2 linked regions of the Pelodiscus sinensis genome follow. The protein of the gene in region 2 purifies or fractionates together with the protein of the main gene of each other region. This does not show direct contact. Links are inferred from orthologs where the notes say so. Each region holds a gene or a part of one and is shown on either strand. Other genes may lie near its edges.

What was found. The genes of interacting proteins can lie anywhere in the genome.
Region 1: the proteins of ARPC1A (region 2) and ARPC5 fractionate together in Homo sapiens (co-fractionation; 8 studies listed by BioGRID and IntAct, counting the BioPlex papers as one, with this or other methods). This does not show direct contact. The link is inferred for Pelodiscus sinensis from reciprocal best matches to the Homo sapiens genes ARPC1A and ARPC5.

The regions. Positions count from the first base shown.
Region 1 is NC_134719.1:57,208,812-57,219,790, forward strand, and holds the start of ARPC5 (actin-related protein 2/3 complex subunit 5), read left to right. Parts: upstream 1-6,703; 5' UTR 6,704-6,800; coding exon 6,801-6,943; intron 6,944-9,066; coding exon 9,067-9,139; intron 9,140-10,450; coding exon 10,451-10,627; intron 10,628-10,979. UniProt on the Homo sapiens protein: Component of the Arp2/3 complex, a multiprotein complex that mediates actin polymerization upon stimulation by nucleation-promoting factor (NPF).
Region 2 is NC_134726.1:31,936,705-31,947,394, reverse strand, and holds the start of ARPC1A (actin-related protein 2/3 complex subunit 1A), read right to left. Parts: upstream 5,012-10,690; 5' UTR 4,988-5,011; intron 4,418-4,987; exon of another isoform or gene 4,232-4,417; intron 3,354-4,231; exon of another isoform or gene 3,183-3,353; intron 2,932-3,182; exon of another isoform or gene 2,767-2,931; intron 1-2,766. UniProt on the Homo sapiens protein: Probably functions as a component of the Arp2/3 complex which is involved in regulation of actin polymerization and together with an activating nucleation-promoting factor (NPF) mediates the formation of branched actin networks.

The DNA.
Region 1 (10,979 bases), on a different chromosome or scaffold from region 2:
TAGACTATGCTGATTTTATTGCTCCTTCTCTGCCCTGTATGCTTCAGGAACCTCAGAGAGACAAATAAGATGGATGTGGGGGGGGGGGAAGTTTGTCTGGCTACACTATAGCAGGGTTGCCACGCCTCAGCAAAGTTATACAACAAAACTACAAGTTGGTAGATAGGCGACAAGAACAAGATTTTTCCTACATTGAACAAATTATCTAACCTCTCCCCACCAAAGTTTACAAATTGATTAGACTAAAATTGGACTCAATAATTGGTCCCAGAAAAGACTATGAAGTGGACTACATACAAATTGACGACTATCCTGGTCTGGCGATGTACTGATGGTAATTATACATTTTAAACTATTCGATTTTGCATAGATGTAATCAGGTTGTATATGGAAAACCTAGTGATTCAATTTCTGAACAGTATGCAATGCTTTTATTACATACTTTGCACTTTTATGGGACGGGGGTAGTAGCAGGTAGAGACATTTTCTGTTATGTTTTGGGTTTTTTTTTAAACAAAGAAGGCAGGCCCACAAAATCAAGGACAATCTTGGATCTTATGCTTCCAACTTTACCTCTCTTAATTTGAGACTGCCATCCACAAAGCTTTCTAGTCTCTACTTGAGCAGCAGTATATTCAGAGGAGAATATGCATTATATTAGCAGTGTACATGTAAAGGAAATGGGAGGGATAAATTATGAGTTTCTTTTTTCTTCTTTCAGGATTGTTAATTACAGAAATATGAACCCAGAAAGGCAAACTTTTTTCCAGGAATATCTGACAAATCAAGGAACAGCAGTAAAGTCCTACTACTGGCAGACACAGAGCTGTGCTAAATGCCCCTATCATATACGGACAGGTGAAGAAGAAAGAGTCCCTTATGTGGAATTTCATATGGCCTTTGGATTCCCATATGGGCTACTGAGTCCTCAAAACAAACATCTTATATTCTATGAACTGAGGAGCTTCTCTGGGACATAGGGTTACCAGGTGTCCAGTATTCACCTGAACAGTCCAGTATTTTCTGATTTTTTCCCTGGCCAGGATGCAAAAATGCTGGGCACCTGGCAACCCTACAAACACTCAGCACCTGGCCTTCCCCCCCCCCCCGACACCCCCTCTCCCCGGCTCCCAACACACCCAGCCCCCCCCCCCCCCCCCGACCCCAGTCCCCATGCTTACCTGGTTCCACAAGGCTGCCTGCACAAAATGACTGCCGACCAAGGGGAAGCAATGCTTCCACTGGGTCTTAGTGCTCAACTCCTCCCCTGTTCCTATCCCTGCACTCACTCTTAAAGGGGACATGCTGTTTTAATGCCGTTTTATTTTATTTTATTTTTTGCTCAACTACTTTGGTCTCTCCCCCTCCCTTTTTCCCCCCCTTCAACAGAATTTTTTCCTGGTGGTTTTTTTTTTTGGGGGGGGGGGGGGGAGAAGAGTGTTCAGAATTTTTGTTTCAACCATCTGGCAACCCTACTGGGACACTAGTCCAAAAGGGCCATGCAACCAACTGCCTTAAGTGTAACATCCATCCAGAGTCTATGTTGTTTGAGATGTGTGGTTATCTGCATGTAGTTACATACGATTATGACGGCATTGGGTATATAATTCTTTATTCAAACTATTCTCCTTGTAATGAGGCTGAGCACTGCTGCATAAGCAAGATCTACAACTTCTTGACAAAGTACCGAGACATTATCTTCTGTATTTATTTCTCTCAGCTTTATTACACTGAGGATGATTTCCCTGTGTCCATATGGAACTGTGAAGCTTTACGAAGCCTTGCCAGCTTATGGCCTTATGTGACTCTGAACCCATTATGTGGTAGGATCTGACATTCCCTCCTTTGCAATTTTGTGAGTGGTATGCCAGAAGCAACCCTTTACTATCCAGTTTTACCTGCAAGAGCGTTAGCTGATCATCAAAATTCACATACAATTAACAACATAACAGGAATGAAATCTTATTTCATGAAAGCATCTCCCCAGGCAACATATATGAAAATCAAAAAGATCGGTAGAATTTGCAGCAAATATTATTTTGCTCACCCACCTTCAGCAATGATGGATGGCAGATTGCCACCACTTATGACTGACTCACAGCCATTTGGTACCTTTTGCAAGCAAGTTTCTGCCCTTTGGAGGGCAATATTCAGATCTCAAACCTAACAATATTGTAAGGCATTTAAAAATGTCTAAGGGGTTATCTAATGATACCAGTCATTCACAAACCTTTTCCCATGGAAGACCGATTCAGATGGTAGAAATCACTGAACGACTTTTAAGTAGTAAGACTACAGATATCAAAGGGGGGAAAAGAAGTAAAGGCATCTCTTACGAAAGTTAATATACAAGCAGGGGGTCTAGATGGGTCAGAAAACTGATGTTGTGGATCTGGAAACTTTTACCTTTTGAATACTCATTTAAATCCAAACTAGGCCAGTAATGATGAAAATTCAGGACCCACTAATGACTTTTAGTGATGTACAAAAAATGGAATTGACGGGTCTCAATCCGATTTTCACCAGAGAGATATCCACATTATACAAGACACCAGCATAATTAATATCTTTATTAGAAGCATCAGCATATGGCAAAGATGAAATGGACAATATGGCCCAAACTCTACCTGGATCTGCAGAAATGATTCCTTCAGCTAAGAGTGGGCATAACCTGGGAAATACTATGCTCTCAGTACCGATCCTGTGAATAAAAAAGCCTTCACCCTCCAAGGCTGCTACCTCTCACCTCCCAGAAGTTCACATAGTATGATTTTTAAGTTATATTTAAAAATATAACAGAATTATATGAAACTTTTATATAAAGTTTGAAAAGGTAGTGCTGAAATTATATACAGTATGAAGCTTAAATTATTACAATACTGAAAGCACTATACAATTATTTGTTATTAATATTTAATGTTATAAAATACTGCAACTAAAGAAAAGTTGGTAACTCCACTTAGCTTCTCACTTTTCCATGCAACATAGCAACACAAATTCTGTATCCAAGAAATGCACACTATCCCCTCTGATGCTTGATACTGCAAGTTGCTGAGTACAGTAGACTTCCGATAATCCGGCACCCTTGGGACCCAGGTGGTGCCGGATTATCAGAAATGCCGGACTATCAGGAGGTACTCTGGCAGGGGCGGGTCTCGTCAGAGGGGAAGCGGGGGAGGGGGCGGGGGTGTGCCAAACCCTCCCTCCTGCTGCAGGGAGGCAGAGCCTGCGAGTGGTGGGAGAGGAGAGGCGGTGACAGGCAGGCAGCCGCATTCAGGACGTTCTGGTCAGTTACAGTCACTCCGGCTGGATCCACAGCCGACACGCAGTTAATGTAACTTTCCTCTCTACTGCCGGGAGGAGGGGGGGGCAGGGGAAGGTAGGGGTCGGTGGGAGAGGGACCCCTGCCCCCCCCCCATCCTCCCCCCTCCCAGCAGTAGAGAGGAAAGTTACATTAACAGCGTGTTGGCTGTGGATCCAGCCGGAGTGACTGTAACTGACCAGAACGTCCTGAATGCGGCTGCTTTGGCACACCCTCGCCCCCTCCTCCTCCCCCACCGACCCCTACCCCCCCCCCTCCTCCCGGCAGTAGAGAGGAAAGTTACATTAACTGCGTGTCGGCTGTGGATCCTGCCGCAGTTAATCAATTACTCTAACAACTTGAAGCAACTGCCAGAGCACTTCCGGGTTGCAGTTGGTGCCGGACCATCAGGCATACCGGACCACTGGATGCCGGACCACCGGAGTTTTACTGTACTTTCACTTCAGTTGTACAATATACTTGAATGAAGTCAAGCATGTTCCGTAGTCTGGGAAGGGTTAGGGTCTCAGTATCAGAACTCCCTAAGGATGGTAAGATGCGGTTAATGGCTAATCAAGTAGTGGACAGAATTTTTATCAACTACTTGATTAGCTAATAAAGAAAGGCAGCTCGGCCCAGTTCCAGCTTGCACCAGATCTGGGACCTACCCCCTCTGTGGCTCTGCAGTTTAAATGTACTAAGAGCCAGGTGGGCAGGCAGCCCAGCTCAGTCCCGGTTTAAGCCAGGTCTGGAACCTACCCCCACTGCAGCTCTGCATTTTAGATGCAGGAAGAGCCGGGCTGCTTATCCGCTTGGCTCTTAGTACATTGAGGCTATGTCTAAACTGCATCCCTTTTTCGATAAAAAGGATGTAGTTTAGACATACCCTAAAATGGCAAAGCTGCAGCAGGAGTAGGTCCCAGACTTAGTGGGAGATGAGAATGAGCTTGGTTGCCTGCACGGCCAGAACAAAATAACCGGTAAACCTCGCTGTATGAGGAATAAGGGTTATTTCAGAAGAAGGGTTTTCTCCCGAAATAATCACGTCTACACAGCGTTTGTTATTTCAAAATAGGGTAATTCAAAATAGCGGCAGACTGCGATAATGCAAATGAAGCATGGGAAATTCAAATCCACGCTTCATTTGCAATTTCGCTCAGCTGCATTTGCATCCCTCTCTCAAAAGAGGGTGAAAGTGTAGACAGACCCTCAAAAAGGCAGCAAGGGGGAAGAAGCAAGTAGTCAACTAAATTAACCAATAAGCCTAGGCTTATCTGTTACTCAACTAGTCAACTACTTGCTTACATCCGTAGAACTCCTTGCTTCTATATCTTAACAACGTTAAGTGCTCCGGGGCCTACTTCAACTCCCACTGACATCACTTAATTGTATTTTTAAAACATGACAAAATACAGTTAAGGGAACATGTGATAAAATATTTTGAAAGATTTTTTTATATATTGGCATTGGAAAAAGTTCAGAAAAGGTAAGCCCCTTATCATTTTGGTTGCCAATGGCTGCCATATGAGGAGAGATTAAAAAGACTGGAAAAGGAAGACTAAGCTTAGAAAAGAGAAGACTAAATTGGGATATGATAAAGTTTTATAAAATCATGACCAGTGTGGAGAAAGTAGATAAGGAAAAATTATGCACTTGCTCCCATAATGCAAGAAAGGTCACTGAATTAAACTGACAGATTTAAAACAAACAAAAGGAAGTGTTTCTTCACATAATGCAGTCAACCTGTGGTACTCCTTGCTAGATGTTGTGAAGACCAGGAGTTTAACAGGGTTTAAAAAAGAACTAGATAAATTCATGGGGGATAAGTCTAGTTTTGGCTATTAGCCAGGGTGGACAGAAATAGTGCACTGAGCCTGTTTATCAGAAGCTGGGAATGAGTGACAGGGGAGAAATCACTTGATGATTACGTGTTCTGTTCATGCCCTCTGGGACACTTGGCATTGGCCACAGTCAGAAGACAGAATACTGAGACAGATGGACCTTGGGTCTGACTCAGTCTCACCGTTCTTATGTTATTAATATCGAGGGTTTTTTTTAAAATGTACTTTTCACTATTTCTATATTACTTCACTCTCTGTACTTCCTCAGCTTGCACTGTAAAAGTCCATTTCACTTTCTCCTTGTATAGCATTAACCTAATGCTTTTGCGTTTGGATTCCCAGTACCACGGGACAACGTTTAATCTGCTAAAACAATGTATGTTTTGAGTATTATGCAAGTATCATGATTCGTATTAGATTCTGCAAAATACTTTTTGTAAACTCAGATTTTTTACTCACATTTACTAATGTCTATTTTACATACAATACTAATATAATTTATACTTCAATTCAATCTGATCTTCATAGGCCTCAAAGATCATTTAAAGATGTTTATAGCAATATAAAGACGGGGATTACTATTTGCAGAAAAAAGCAGGAACCGGGAGTCCAGATGCTTGGGTTTTAGTCTCAGTTCTACCACTGATTCACCACGACCCACTCACTACCACCCACATTTCCAAAGGGGCCCCTTCTTGTGGGCACCTAATTTATTTATGAGCCTGGTCTGGGGCACGGTGGGTGAGCTTGCCAGCGAGGCTGAGCGTGCCCGCACCGAAAGGAGACGAGTGACACTGAAACCTGCCCACCTGGAGAAACCGCGGCAACCAGAGACATGGGGCAGCGCTCAACGGTTGAGCCTCTGTGCCTCAGTTTCCCCATCTAGAAAACGGGTCTGCGAGCGCGAGGCCTGCTCCCGGGGGCTAGGCGGGGAGTCCGCAGGGGAAGCGCTCGGGCCGGGAGCCCCACTGACCGGCGCTGGGAGACAGACCTGGGGGGCGGCGCGCTCGCCCCTGAGCACGGAGGGGGGCAGGGGGCTCCCGGCGCGTCCCCGCGCCTCACACCCACGTGTGGGGCAGCGACTCAGCCGAGCGCGGCGGGGCCGGTAGCGGCGCTTCACACCCCGCCCGCCACGACCCACCCTACTGCGAGCGCCCGTTAGCGACGGGAGGCCGCTCCCATGGAAACGGGCCCCCTTCGGCCCAGGAGAGCACGTGACCACCCCCTGCCGACCAATCGCAACAACTCACCTGCTCCTCCCCGACCCTGCCTTCCTCCGCCCACTTGCCTGTTCTGCGTCTGCGCTCAAGGGCCCGCCGGCTGCCGCAGAGGAAAAAGGAAGTCCGTGCAGATCGCATGCGCAGAGAAGAAGGGGTGCGGTTTTAAAGTGCGCGTGCGTTTAAAAAAAAAAAAAAAAAAAAGAGAGAGGCGGCATTGCGAGGCGCATGCGCTCACCCACGAGTGTCAAGCGCGAGCGGCTAAACCGTAGGAAGAGAAAGTCGCTCGAGCGACTTTTTCCTAGTGCGCATGATCGGAAGTGAGAGGCGGAAGGAGCGCTGTGCGCTGCGCATGCGCGCTGCTGCTTGCTGCGGGCAGCAGGGGGCGGGCACCGCCCTGCGGAGGGGAGCGGGCGGGAGGCGCCGGCAGGTTCCGGGGCGATGGCGAAGAACACGGTGTCGTCTGCGCGCTTCCGCCGGGTGGACGTGGACGAGTACGACGAGAACAAGTTCGTGGACGAGGAGGAGGGAGGCGACGGCCAGGCCGGGCCCGACGAGGGCGAGGTGGACTCCTGCCTGCGGCAATATCCTTCCGCGGGCGCCGGGGAAAGAGTCCCGGCCTGGACGGGGGAGGGGCGCCCAGCCCTGTCGCGAGCCCGGGGGACCCGAGGGCACAGGCGGGACGCTGCGCCCCCGGCCCTGAGCCTGCCGGGGCTCTGCGGCGTGGACAGGGGCGGCCTCCTCCGTGCCCCCGCCGCGTCCCGCAGCCCTGCCTCTTAGCTGCGCCCCCGGGAGCAGGCTGCGAGCGGGGCCGGCCCGCCCGGCCCCAGAGAGTGACGTGCAGGGCTGGGGGGCGCTGACAGCCCAGGGGTGCTCGGTCCTCACCCCCAGGCCCGTCTAGGCAACTTGTTACAAACAGCCTTCAATTCCCCGGCCTGCCTGTGTCTAGGCCCTGGGGTGAGCGCCCTGCTGCCCAGAGAGACCGTTAGACCTGTATGTAAGTTCATATCCGCCAGCTCTTTGGTTCCCAGTTTTCATGGGCATGCATGCGCTGGAGGATGTGGTCCTGTCTGACCTCACGAGAGCAGGAGGGAGGGCCAGCGAAAGAGCCCTGCCCCCAAACCCCTCTTGCACTGCAGAGTTGGAGGAAGTGTGTTCTCTGTGAAGTTTTCCTTTTATGGGAATAATTGCACCTAGTCTGTGATAATCTAGTTGCTTTTTACTTCCACATATTAGTGCCTTTAGCTTCAGATGTGCCCTTTCTGGGTGAGGCTGCGCTTGATAAGGTTAGCTTGTAAGTGGGTTTTATGGTTTCAAATTTGAGGTGAGGGGAAAAACCTGGAGGGGAAAAAAAACAAAAGGGAAATGTTTGCTCAAAACCATAAGACCCTTTAAGAAAATTCAAATGGGAGCTGCTTAGTATCCTTTTCTGTACAATCTGCCGGAAGCCTGAATTAGCTGTGTTTCTAGAGCATGTTTTGTTCTAGTTCATGACAATAATGGAGGCAGTCTTGGGATCTCATTGTTCTATAACAGGGCTACTCAAGGCACACGCCCCGTAGGCTGCATGCAGCCCGTTTGTTTGCGCTCAGCGTTGCGGGTCCTTTGAACAGGGCTTCCGTTAGGAACATGCTCCACAACAGCAACTCCATATAATGGTCTTCTGTTGATATGTGTTAGTAGTTAAATTCCTGGACTCTCATTGTTCATTAAAAGTGCTGTCGTATGGGTGAAAATCTGCTGATATTAATAAAATGCAATATTCACCTGAACTGACTTAAATGGGACCTGCGTGTTATGTAGTCTTGCCTTAATCTTTGTATTCATGCCCGTCAGTGTGAAAGAAGCTATTTGCATATAAATTTGCATGTATACGCAATCACGCTTAAGTTGCAGCCCTTAGCATGTGCTGTAAGTATCATTGTGGCCCCTGGGGCTTCCAAAGTTGAGTACTCCCCTCTGATACCCAGGGCTCGACAAATAATACAATCTACTCGCCCATGGTGAGTAGACTGTAACCTGGAAGGCCCATGTGCAGATCACCAGACAGCGCAGCTGGCAAGCAGGGCTCGCCGCAGTTCGGCGAGCCCTGGTGATACCCATTAGTTGTGTCACTTAATGCACTACTGGGAGGTTTCTAGATGATGCAGTATAAGAATCTTAATAGAAAACTCTTCTGAATCATAACCAACTACAGTGTGATGAATTGACTGATAGATTGAACATCAACAGGAAAGGAAAGGTCAATCTGAGGCCCTAACTGATGATATTTTTCCGATGTATGTACAAAGTATGTTCTCATTCACCAGCTTGTTTCAGCAATCACATCTTCTTTTCGTGTGTGTGTGTGTGTCAAACAGCCATGTTATAACTTGTTGCATGATATTTTGCCAATCTGTGTGGAGTTTGAAGATAAAAGGGGTCAACTTAGAATTATTTATATTTGGATCTTTGTTGTGTGATTTGGTGCACTCTGATGCTGACAACTGTACCACCTTAGTATTGATCCCATTGCTTTAAATGACTGGGTAATACTTGCTACTTTGAACACTTCAGTAGGTGCAACAGTATGGAAAATATTCTCTCCACAAATCCATGCTTGATATTCCCAGTAAGAAACAGGTTACTTGTGAATCCCACTCTATTGTGACTATCTCTGCTGCTTTCTATGTCCTTGTTTCCCCATCTTTCCTTAACTCATGTTTACAGGAAACATGATGGCTGCATTGCAGGCAGCCCTAAAGAATCCTCCAATCAATACCAAGAACCAAGCAGTAAAGGTGAAGTAGTTAATAACTCACATTCATGTGCCATGCTGTAAATTCTTTCCTAATTCCCTAAGACTTCTACAGATTGCTCACTGTTCCTCTCTGAGGTGATTAAGCTCTTCCTGTATACTCAGCCCAAGTACAGGGCATCCCTCATACACATCCATTCTGCACTAGTCATTTAAGCTTGTAGGAACAGAGGCATGATTAGTCCTCTCATTTCCCCGCTCTTCAGTTGTGCAAAAAAAAAAATGCACAAATGAAAGTCAGCTGGAGGGGGAGGGGGAATTCCCTGCTTCAAGTTGTTTTGCTATAAATCCAAGGTTTTTTTGTAACGTATCTTGGACTTAAAGCGATACATGGCCCGTGAACTTACCAAAAAAATCACCTCAGACTAGTAAGCACTGACTGGCTGTGTCCAGTCCATAGTTCTAGCTAACAAGGAATTTTTAAGCTGGCTTCCCATGCGTACCAGCTCCCAGGGAGCCAACTTCCCCTCCATGCTTCCCCTCACCCCAGGCCTGGTGCTGCTTCCTCTCTGGCAGGGAGGAGGGAAGAGGGGTCCAGATGGCAGCCACCTCCCCCTGCATGTAACTGCTGAAGTGTTCAGAGGTTATACATTTACCTAAATAAACACATTTTAACTTCCTTAGTTATAATACAGTACTCAGTGAGGGAAGAGAAAGATAATGCAGAGTAAAAATAGATCTCAGCTGAACAGAACTCCGTGCTCAGTAGAAATACTTCTCCTTTAAGATCTCTTTTGGCCCACAGAAGTGCTGTCCATCTAGACAATGTAAAAATAAGAGGTTGCTTAGTTGGTGAGAGGGAAGCCAATCAGACCTGTAATTTCCGACGACTTTTGAACTGTCCAGTCAAGAGAGAAAGTTCAGTACCACCCTTATGCTATGGGTGGAGTCCTGCAAACAAAAGCTAGTCTTAATAAGCAAAGATAGAAACCTAGAACAAACTTGTTACAAATGCAGTGACGAGAATGAGTCTCTTGTTTGAGACTAGCTTCTTTCACCTCAGTGGCGATGTGCTGCCCTTTAATTTATCTAAAACTTGATTTCAAATTAATTGCATATGTTAACTGTAAATTGAAATTTATTTAGAATTAAATGGCTATAGCAAAGTCCATGGAGGTCATACTGTCGTAGGGCAGAGGTGAATGTCTGTTGAACAGTATGCTTGACAACTTGGTATGTGTTCGAGCTGCCTTGGCTTTTTGAATTAAGAATAAAGCTTTACCTCCTGGGAGATCATTAACATTTGGCTGTCTGTCATGTTATTCCAAGTTATGACTTTTCCCCTTGTTTACAGGATCGTGCAGAAAGCATCGTCCTAAAAGTCCTCATCTCATTCAAAGCCAATGATATTGAAAAGGCAGTACAGTCTCTGGACAAGAATGGAGTTGATCTGCTAATGAAATACATCTACAAGGGGTTTGAGAGCCCCTCTGACAACAGCAGTGCTGTGTTATTGCAGTGGCATGAAAAGGTGTGTGAAGTCTGTTGCTTTTGGCTGGATAATTGCATGGACAGAGACTCTGGCATCCAGGATTCTGTCTTGAGTCCAATAGGAATCATCCTTCTTTCCCTTAAGTCTATTATTCATATTACAACAGTTGGGGTGGAAAGGACATGGTACCCTAGAGAACCATGTGAAATTAATGCACACTTCCTATTATATATTGATTCACATAAACTCTAGAGATGAAGTTTTATTGTGTATTAGATACGAATGAAAATGATCCATTGTACATTTCCTAAAAGCTATACTGTCTCCGTACAAGAGCACACTAATCTAAAGGTTAAAACAGGGAACGTAGCTAGGAATAGAACCCAAGACT
Region 2 (10,690 bases):
TTTATGAAGTCCTACCACAGGGCGAGATCACCACCTTCTCCTTAATTAAAAGGGATCCAAGTTATCTCCCACCTTGGACAGGCACAATGAGATTCCATTTGTTAATCTATACAAAATGTCTGCAATTTTTTGATCATGTTCTTGTTTTAGTGCATGCCAACACACAGTAGCAGTAAATTTCCATATACAGGAAAAACTGAAGAGCGGTTAAACCAACAGGATTGCTCAGCCCTTTCTACTCTTTCAGAAATAAAAAGCAGAAAAGTTTCCAAAAATAATGAGTATACTTATTTCAAAACACTGTTTCTAGCACAATCCTGATAATGTTCCCCAGCATGTAGTTCTTCTGTGGAAAAAGTAACATCTAGCCCACAGATTTTACTTCTAAGCTTCAGACTACACATCAGGTTGGTATGAAAAAATAGATGCTCAAATACAAAAACAGTTCTAGTTCACCTTAGAAAAACTCCCCCAAACACAGTATTAACTTAAAATGCCCATTCAGTGAATCAAGAGAAAAGGTATCATCCATTCTTTCCAAATAACTAGATTTCTCTGGCACAATAATCGTATTCATAAGACAGACATTGGATCACCTGTATTAGTGACAAGCATTCTGTATTGGATGACCAACTAATCACAAGAGAAAGCAATGCTGGGAGAAAATATTCTCAAAGAATACTTCTCACCAATATTTGATAACTATAATATCCTCTTCCTAACTTTCAACTTATAGGAGAGTCAAGAACAATTCAATACAAATTCAATTCAATAAAATGTTTTAATCATACTCTTCCTAATCACCAAAGAGCTCACTGAAGGACAAAGACACTAATCCACATTTTAGTGAAGTTGGCACTTTGATATTACTGATAGGTGTTTAGTGCAGTTCTCAACCACCAATTAAGGATGTTAAAATGAGGTTATCCAGCTATTTGTATAGTCGATACAAATTCTATCGAATATCCAATTAGTCGATAGGACTGCTCTGCAGAGCCACAGCAGGGGTAGCTTCAGGAGCAGGCTCAAGCCGGGACTGAGCAGTCCTGGCTCGTGCTGACTCCAGGAGCCACCTGTGCTGTAGCTCTGCATTTTAAATGTAGTAAGAGCTGTCAGGCTCTTACTACATTTAAAATGCAGAGGCACAACAATCAGCAAAAGCCAGTATTGCTCGGTCTCGGCTCACACTGAGCCCAGCAGCCCTGTCTGCTGCAAACAGGGCCTAGTGTTGATGTAGCCTCCGTTCGTGGTGGACAAGGCTGGCTGTCACAAATAGAGGCTGCTCTGGCACCAACCCCTGTTTGTGGCAGCCAGAGCTGATAGAGGCAACAAGGGGGAGTAGGTGGCACCCTGGAGATGGCGCTGAGGGGAACCGGTGGCATCCCCAGAACTGGCTCCTGTTCTCCCCCTTTGCTGCCTCTCATAAAGGCAGCCACAGTGGGAACCGGTGCACCCCCCAGCACCGGCTCCTGTTCCCCCCCTTGCTGCCTTTCTATGACAGAGGCAGCAAGGGGGAGTGGAAGCAACTATATTTATTGGATAGTCGACTACTAATCGCTTACATCCCTATTACCAATACTTTTAATACCAATACCTGCCTGTCAGACTAATTTGAGAATCCCCCACAGGAAATATATCACCCTAGTTAACCTTGTTATCTAGGCACTTGGCCTCAGATAGCTACTGAATATAACTGCAGAGTAATAATCTTTGCTTTCCAATATCAACTGGAAATTTAAAATTGGGAATTTTATGTTTTTAATACAGTATCAGATTCCTTTTTGGAGGGAGAAGGGGGGAGATAACAGGGTGAAGAGTATTAGGCTGCTGTCATTCCCTAATTAAGACAGCAAATACACTACAGGGCTATTCCCAACAACCATGGAGTAGGAATACTGCCTGAGAATCCAGATATAGTGCCAAACAAATATTTTTTAACCCCCGCCAATCTCCTTTCAGATCACATAAGTCACCTGGAAGGTAGGGATGTGAAAGTGGAAAGTGCAATCATGTAGACCCGTGGTCCCCAACCCGGTGCCCACGGGAGCCATGGCGCCCGCCGGGCTCTTTACATGCGCCCGCGGAGCAATCTGGGCTGGCAGGTGCCAGCCCCGGACGCATGGCCGGTCCCGGCCCCGGGGGCGCCGCGCGTGCCCTGGCCGGCTCCGGCCTTGGCCCCACCCCGGGGGCGCCGCGCGTGCCCTGGCCACGGCCCCGGCCCCGCGGCGCTTACGGGGGGAGCACCGGCCCCGGGCGCGCGGCGCTTGCCGGGGGGCACCTTCCCCGGGTGCGTGGCTATGGGGGGGGCCCCGCCCCCGGGCATGCGGCTGGGGGGGGCCGCCCCCGGGCGGGCAAGTGTCCCCGCCCCCTGGCGCCCGGCGGGCGAACGGCCACGCCCCCTGGCACCCGGCAACCTGAAAAGGATGGGGACCACTGATGTAGACAGTTAACCAATGAGACCTACAAGCAGGCTCCTGTGGGGGAGCTGGCTTAAACGCCGGCTCTCAGGGAGCAGCCTGCCACCCTGCATTGCTGTCGCTGTATCAGAGGCAGCAGTGCAGGGGGGGGGCAGGCGGGAACCAGTACATGCAACATGCTGGTTGGCTCCCCCTCTGCACCCCAGCTCCAGGGCAGCCGACTGCCACCCGACGCAAAGACTGACAATTTCAGGGGTGACACGGCGACAAAGATTCTAGCATCCCTCCTGGAAGGGCGGTGTCTGCAGCTCACTGCCCCTGCAAGTCGGCCTCTCCCGGGGCTAACGACCCTCCCGCCCGGATACAGGCGGCGTTACAGCAGGAGAAGCTGTTCGCTCAGGCTGTGCCCCTGCTGCTCCTGCCACGGGCGCGCGGGGCTCGCCCTCGACGCTGGGGAGGGCTGGCCCCGGCACCCCGCGGCTCCCCGCACAGGTGCGCCGAGACCTCGGCCCCGGTGAGTGGGGGGGGGGAGGGAGGAGAGACAGCGGGGGGGGGGGGGAGGGGTCAGCCCCGCCGCTCGGCAGTGCCCTGCCCCACCCCGCAGCCGTTGGGAACAGTCGAACCCCCCCGCCGCAAGGAGAATGGGGAGGAGGGGGCGGGGTCCGGTCGTCGCCCCCCCCGCGTGAGGCAAGTGGGCGGGCCCAGGTACTCGCTGAGGGGAGGGGGCCTGGAAGGGCTCGGGGTGAGCGCGGCGCCGGCACTTACCTAAGGGGGGAGGGGAGGAGGCAGCGGAGCGGGACTCGCGGACTCTGGTCAGTCAACGCGACTCCGCTCCGGGCGGCGGGAGAGGGAGCGGCCGGCGGGGCCCGGCACTGACAAGCGATCCAGGAAATGGCCTTGGAGTCTGCGCACTGGCCACGGGCAGCTCCTACCTCTGCGCCTGCGCGCAGAATCGGGGCGGGGTAAGATCCTGCCACTACGCCTGCGCACGGGCCGGGAGTGGGGAGGAGGGTCCCCCCGCACTCTGCGCCTGCGCGTAGAACTGGAGCGTGTTGAGGCGAGAATTCTCCTTACGCAAAGGCGCTGGGGGGTAGGAGGGAAGGGAGGAAGATAGGAGGGAGCATGCGCAGTGTCGCTAGCCTGAAGGGGAGAGCTGCACATGTGCAGTGGTCAGTCCTGGAGATGAAAGTTGCACATGCGTACTGCGGACTGGTTACTGTTCAATGCAGAGCCAGTTCCAAGGTGGTGGTTGGGAGGTGTGATGGCTTGAGGCAGAGGTTTGGGCCAGGATCACAGGCTGATCCAGCAGCTGTGTGAATTCTGACCTCCTTTGCCAAGGGCTTTGACCTACCAAGCTGTGTAAAAGCTAGGGATTAGTGTAAATCAAACTGGAATGCCATTGTTACCCCTTTTGCACAGCTGGGTAAACTGAGGCACAGAACGGTTAAAGTGACATGCCCAAGTTCAGCTTAGTGGGCAGAGCTGTCTCAGTGTAATAGTGTTCTATTCTCTAGGCAACACTACCACCACATTTATAAAAAGCAGCATTTGGAAAGCCAACAAATTGCAGTGCAAAAAGAACAACTCTGAGTGGTGGGATGGGAAGATTAGAGTGATATGCTATCCCTTAGAAAACTGCTTAGAAAACTCATTTAGTTGTACAGATTAAAGATATGTAATTAGGTCAACTACACATTATGCAACAGGACTGAAATTGCATTTAAATACAGTATTACATTTACAAAATGATTTTCACTGGGAGAGGGATGAAACCAGCTGAACCAGATATATTACAGAGCAACTGTGTTTTTCAGGAGCTTGGATACTATGAATGCAAAACTATTAGGGCCTTGTCTACAACGAAGGTTTTCAGGAAATCTCCCACCTGTACTCCAGCTGAATGCAGGTACAACATGTTCCAGTGCAAATAAATTGCTAGCAGTTTCACCAATACATCTGAGCATCTCTGAATTGGGAGTAGAGGACTTAGTAGCGAAAAGGTCAGTGATCAATTTACACTTCTCTAATATTAGTGGAATGTTACTAATGTGAGAGCAACAGTGGGAAGTTTTCAGGAAAACCTGAATATACATTAGAGATGTAACTGGTTAACTGGTGGCTCAGACAGGCTGGAGAAGCCCCTTCCCCCATCTGGTATGGCGCAGTGGGCCCGGCCTGGACGGAGCAGCCCCTTGCCTGCAGTGGTCTCAGCCTTGCTTGGCTGGAGCAGCCCAAGGCTTGCTGGGCTTGGTCAGGCTGCTTCAGCCCAGCCAGGTCTGCTGTGCTACACCATGCATGCGAGGGGCTACTCCATCCTGGCCAGGCCCAACACACCACAGGGGGAGGGCTGCTCCAGCCTGGCCGGGCTTCAGGGGCCCCCACCCGTGGGATCCCATTTAACTGGTTAAAAGGGCTTTTACATCCCTTGTATACATTGTTTGCTTTTAAGTATTAAGAAAAAATGATTGGCCATAGTTTCAAAATGCAAATGTGTATGTGTGTGGTCTACTGTCCCACCTAGAGGCAGCTAGACCACTTACGAAGAGACTCAGTCTACTCTACAACCTTACCTGAAAGGCAGCTGGCTTTTAGCTCACTCAGTAGAGGCTCATGCACTAAGCTTTAGAGGTCCCAGGCTTGGTTCTGCCTGTCAGAATTACATAAGCATATGCAAACAGGTCTCAGCACGTGCACAACATGGATTGCGCAAAACTGATAATTAAACACATGCATTCGTGGGTGAAAGTATCTATTTTAGAAGTGGAATGTAGGCTTCAGCATTTGAAATGTGTCACTTTCAGGCAAAGGGAAGGAAACGCAACATGTTTGGGGAGGAAAAAAAATAAGATCTGGATTTTTTCCAAGATGCACTTGCTTAAGATTTCAGTACAACATTCACATAAGTTATAATAATTTATCAAAATCAACTTTCATAACCAATATTTGAGTAATCAGACTTCTTTGGTTCACATTTTTAAACATAACAACATAAGACTGGCCATACTTATGGTCCATCTAGCCCAATATTCTGTCTTCCAGCACTGGCCAATGCCGGGTGCTCTAGAGGGAATGAACAAAACAGGGAATCCCTGTCCCCCATTCTTATCTTCTGACAAACAGAGGTTGGGGACACCATTTGTGCAAATTCAGGCTATCCTTATCCTCCATGAATTTACCTACCTCTTTTTTGAACCTTGTTAAAGTCCTGCTCTTCACAACATCCTCTGGCAATGAGTTCCACTGGTTGACTGTGTGTTGTGTGAAGAAAATACAGTAAGTAGTTGTCTAGAACTGCAGCAGAGGTGTAGGCAAGCTGCATTTGCTCCTCCAAGCCACTAAGGATGATGGCTCCAGGCAGGTGGGTGGACTCTCTGTCTTCCTTCTCAGCTCCTGCCTGCTGACATCTAGCCATTATGGAGTTCCCAGGTTGATGTGGCAGGTAGGGAGGTGGAGAGTGCAGGTAATTGCTGCAGGGTTGGGAGGCAGAATTAGGGAGGATAATGCAGAGAGGGAGCAGAATAAGGATGAGGGCTCAAGATTCCTCACATGCCTTGGGACTCTCATTGCCTCCCACCTTGCAGAGGCTTGGCTGGCTTGATTTTTGAAGCAGAAGGCAGACTGGTAGGGAAGAGGACGGGGAAGGAAAAAACTAGCAAGTGGCAGGGTTTATCCCAGGCTCTGCTGAGGGATCCCAGCTGACATTGTGCAGCCGTACCCTAATTACCACCACCTTCATTTTGGGACAACGAGGGTGTTTCCGGCACCAGCATTTTCGGGGCTGCAGCATCGTTCCCCCGGCATCGCCATCTCTAGTTTCAACTGACTCCTCTGCTGAAGGGCAATGCTGACCAGCGCAGAGTCATAGACACGTATTACGGCTGGAAAGGACCCTGAAGAGGTCATCTAGTCCATTCCTCCAGCTGAGGCAGGTTTAAGAATCCCAGACCGTCCCTGACAGGTGTTTGTCTACCAGGGTCTTATAAAGCTCCAGTGACAGGGATTTCACAACCACCTTTGGAAGCCTATTCCCATGTGTAACTATCCTTATAGATAGAAGGTTTTCCTCAGACCCAACTGAAATCTCCTTTGCTGCAGATTAAGCCCATTACTTCTTGTCTTGATATAAGTAAGATCTGAAGGAATGCGTCCATGACAGCTAGCTGGAAGCGGGGAGAGACCCTGGGTCTATGTCAGTGGTCCCTGCCGGCGCCATGGCGCCCGCTGGGGCATTTATGTGCACCCATTGAGTGACCAGGGCCGGCCCAAGCCATTCTTGCACCCCGAGCATGTGGTGCATGCTCAGCCTCTGCCCCAGGCGCGCGGCGTCAGCCCCAGACACATGGCACAGGTGCGGCCCCACCACTGGGTGCATGGTTCATGCACAGCCCCACCCCCAGACGCGCCCGGCAGCCTCAAAAGGTTGGGGACCACTGGTCTACGTCAATACAGTTTGCTTCTGCTTTGCTTAGATTTGTTGGGACATTCAGCATAGGGAGTGGTATTTTGCTCATCGTAATCAACTTAATTTGTAACCCGACACCAGCTATGTTTATATTAAATGCAGGACAGCTGAAATATGATTATCAAGGTTTGTAATTTTGTGGGAATACAGAAGAGTAGGACTGTGCTATGTTGTTCCAAATGAAAGGGCTTGCAGCAGAAAGAATCTTGCGAATGCAGGGTCTCGACTTTCAGAATCCTGTAAGGGTAGGGGATGAGGCAGGGATAGGCAAACTTTTCCAACCAAAGAGCCAAACTACATCAACATTCAGAATAAGTGGTCAAGAGCCATATAAGAATGCCTGAAAATATACAACTTAATATTATTGATAATTGACATGATGAATAATAGCATAAATGAAACATTGGAGTCTGGTTTGGGATCCATGAGGGGTTCAGGGTGTGTGGGAGGGTGCAAGAGGCAAGGAACGGTAGTAAAGTATGTGAGGGGCTCTGGGGTGAATTACCTTACCTGGCTGGGGCTGGACCAAGCTCAGCCAGTCCTAAGGACTGACTTCCCTCAGCCCTGCCTTTTCTGGAGGAGGTGGAGCTGCCCTCCACCTTGTCCTGAGACAGCCCTGCTGGATGTAGGGGTGTCTGATCAGGATGGAGGGTGCAAGAGCTGGCAGGGGTCTTGGCCAGGTTCTATGGATGGGGGGAAGCACCGACTAACAGGAGCAGTGGGGAAAGCCTCCAGGTTGCATATCCATAGGTTGCCATTCCCCTGAAGGCTTTTCTTTCCTCACCAGCAGGAAGATGGTGGTGGTGCTCTAGCCTTTGGGTGTGTGGGGACACAGGTGGGACTTGAACCCACAATTGCAGGAGCTAATGCCCTATCCATTAGATCACTGGGACCCACCTCACCACTGTACCTTCAGCTGATGCTCCTGGCCCTAGCAAAGACCACCATCTATAATACCAGGAGCAGGATGTTGGACGAGGGGGTTCTCTGCGACTGTGGGGCCTATTTCCGTTCCTCCCTGGTTTCACGAATCCGGGCAGAGTTCCTCTGGGCGGCATCCACTGGCTCCTTCGATAGCTTTGAGGAGCAGTGGGCGCTGTCCGGGGTTTTCTGCTCGGTGTCCCCATCCGGCTCCCTTATTTTGAACCTTTAGCCCGCACTCCCTGACCCTTTTGTCATTATTTGTCCCAAGCAATTAATTGGACATGGGTCCAGTGTCCCTCCCGTAAGGCTGGGGAGGGGCTTTTAGAAGGTGGGCGGGCTTTGCCCACCCTCCCATGATTTCCAAATAGGACCTTCAGCTGATGCCTTATCCATTAGGCCACCCTCTCCCCTACCTTCAGCCCACTCCTGCACCCAGCAGGGCCGACTGGGTCAGTTTAAGGATGATCTTCAAGTGAGCTCTCAGCATCGCCCCAGTCCCATCCTGATGTTCCTGGGTTTAGCCAAGAAACACCAGTTACAAACAAGCTTTTCTGCTTGCACCGCTGCTTAGCCCGTGCAGCTGTCAATGGGACACTGCACCCACTCAAAGGCAGCGCCACGCAGCTCAGCAAGGAAACCAGCTCAGACATTTTGTTGCTGTTTATAAGTGCAGGTCAGTGGGCACTAGGCCGCTTCAGGCGGGAGCTCTCCAGGGACTGCAGCAGGACGCCACTTGGCTCCTGAGGTACCTGCGAAGAGGAGGAGTCTGGTGAGGTTTGCAGCCCCAGTGCGTGGGCCTGATGCATGTGTGGGGATGGGGCCAGGCCCCACAGGGCAGAAACAGGCTGTGGGCAAAGTGGGCCCGTGGGACCTGACACTGGGGGCTCAGACTCAGCTTCACTTCATCCACGTCAGAAGTTCTAATGTGTAAGGAGAATCATCACTGCAGCCGGCACTGGCAGGTCAGACCCCTCCCGCCATGGCTGCCACCTTCCACCCCAAGCAGGACACCTCAGACCCACCTGATCCATCCCCTCACCACCAGAGCAAAAGGCTTGTCCCCAGCCTCGCCAGGACACCTCAATCCTCACTTCTCCTCTTGGCTCCCATGAGGAGGACCCACCCCCAGCACCTGAAGCAGCTTGGGGCCCATCTTCCACCACACTCACCTCCCACACCAAGCCACAGAGGAAAGGGGAGTAGGGGATGCGGCTGCTGCTATTTGTAGTTCAGGTGCCTCAACAAGCACCGCCCCTTCTCACCAGCAACCAATAAAAGGTGGGTCCTGGGACATGCAATGGTTTGACATCAGCTGGTCCTTGTATAGTCCAGCCTGTGAGGCAGGGTGGGAATGACTAGGGGACGGGGTTACATTGGGCCAACTAGGCCCGAACTGGGGCCTGCAAAGCCCACTTAGGCTGGCTTTGGTCAGTCTGCATCTAGGCTCCCCCCTCCCCCGAGATAATGGCTCTGGCTCTGTGCCCCCCTAGACTCAGAGGGGCTGAGATGACCTCAGTGGCAGAGCCTTGGGTTGGAAGCAATCTGGGTTGAATGTAGGGGCACCTGTGCCAAGCCTGTCTGAGTCAGACAGCTTACCTGGGAGCTTGCTCAGATTTACCAACTCCAAACCCAGCGACCATTGATCTCTTGCCTCTAAGCAGGGGCACTTACTCTGCCTGCCTTGTGCAAATTGGTGAAATGCCAGCTCTGAGATTCTGGGATATATGCATTTTAATAGGCAAGAACTTCAGGATGATGACAACTAAATGAGGAGATGCATAAATGCCAGGTATTTCTTGTGTCTTACATACAAGTTCACACCTGTTACAGCTAGGCTGTGTCTACACTGGGCCACTTATTCCGGAAAATCAGCCGCTTTTCCGGAATAAGCTGCGAGCTGTCTACACTGGCCCTTGAATTTCCGGAAAAGCAATGATGCTCTACTGTACAAAATCAGCCACTATTCCGGAAAAACTATTCTGCTCCCAATCGAGCATAAGTCCTTTTTCCGGAACACTGTTCCGGAAAAGGGCCAGTGTAGACAGACCAGTAGTCTTTTCCGGAAAAAAGCCCCGATCGCGAAAATGGCGATCGGCTCTCTTTTCTGGAAAAGCGCGTCTACATTGGCCACAGACGCTTTTCCGGAAAAAGGGCTTTTCCGGAAAAGCAGCCTGCCAATGTAGACGCTCCTTTTCCGGAAAAACTGAAAACGGAATAGTATTCCGTTTTAAGCATTTCCGGAAATTCATGCCAGTGTAGACACAGCCCTAGGGATGAAAGGTTAACCAGGTAACCGGTCAACATATGCCTTACCAGCATCTTTACCAGCTAACCAGTTAGCCAGAGCTTCCCCCACATGACAGCCCAGTCAGCAGGGCCATGATACGTTGCGGGCCTGGAGCAGCTCCTGTCATCCATGGTGGAGCTATGGCAGTCCCTGCCACTTGCAGCTGTGGTGGGGAAGGAGCAGCCCATGCCAGCCATGGCTGCAGCGAGCATGGCCCAGAGCAGCTCCCTTCACCCGCAGCTTGTGGTTGACTGGTTAAACAAACCATTTAACTAGTTAAACTATTCTGGGTGGTTTTTACATCCCTAGTTACAACACCCAAGAATATTATTTTTCCAAGATTATCACACTCTAGGCTCAAATTCAGTTTGTGATCCTGTAATTAGTCCCAGATAATTTTCAGCAGTTCCATTGCCTCACCAGTAATTTCCCATTTTGTAGCTGTGCATGTGATTTTTCCTTCATTAGTGAAGAATTTTGCACTTATTTTTATTGAATTTCATCTTGTGGATTTCAGACCAATTCTCCAATATGTCTAACTCGGTTTGAATTGTAATCCTGTCCTCCAAAGTGCTTGCAACCCCTCCTGCCTTGTGTCAT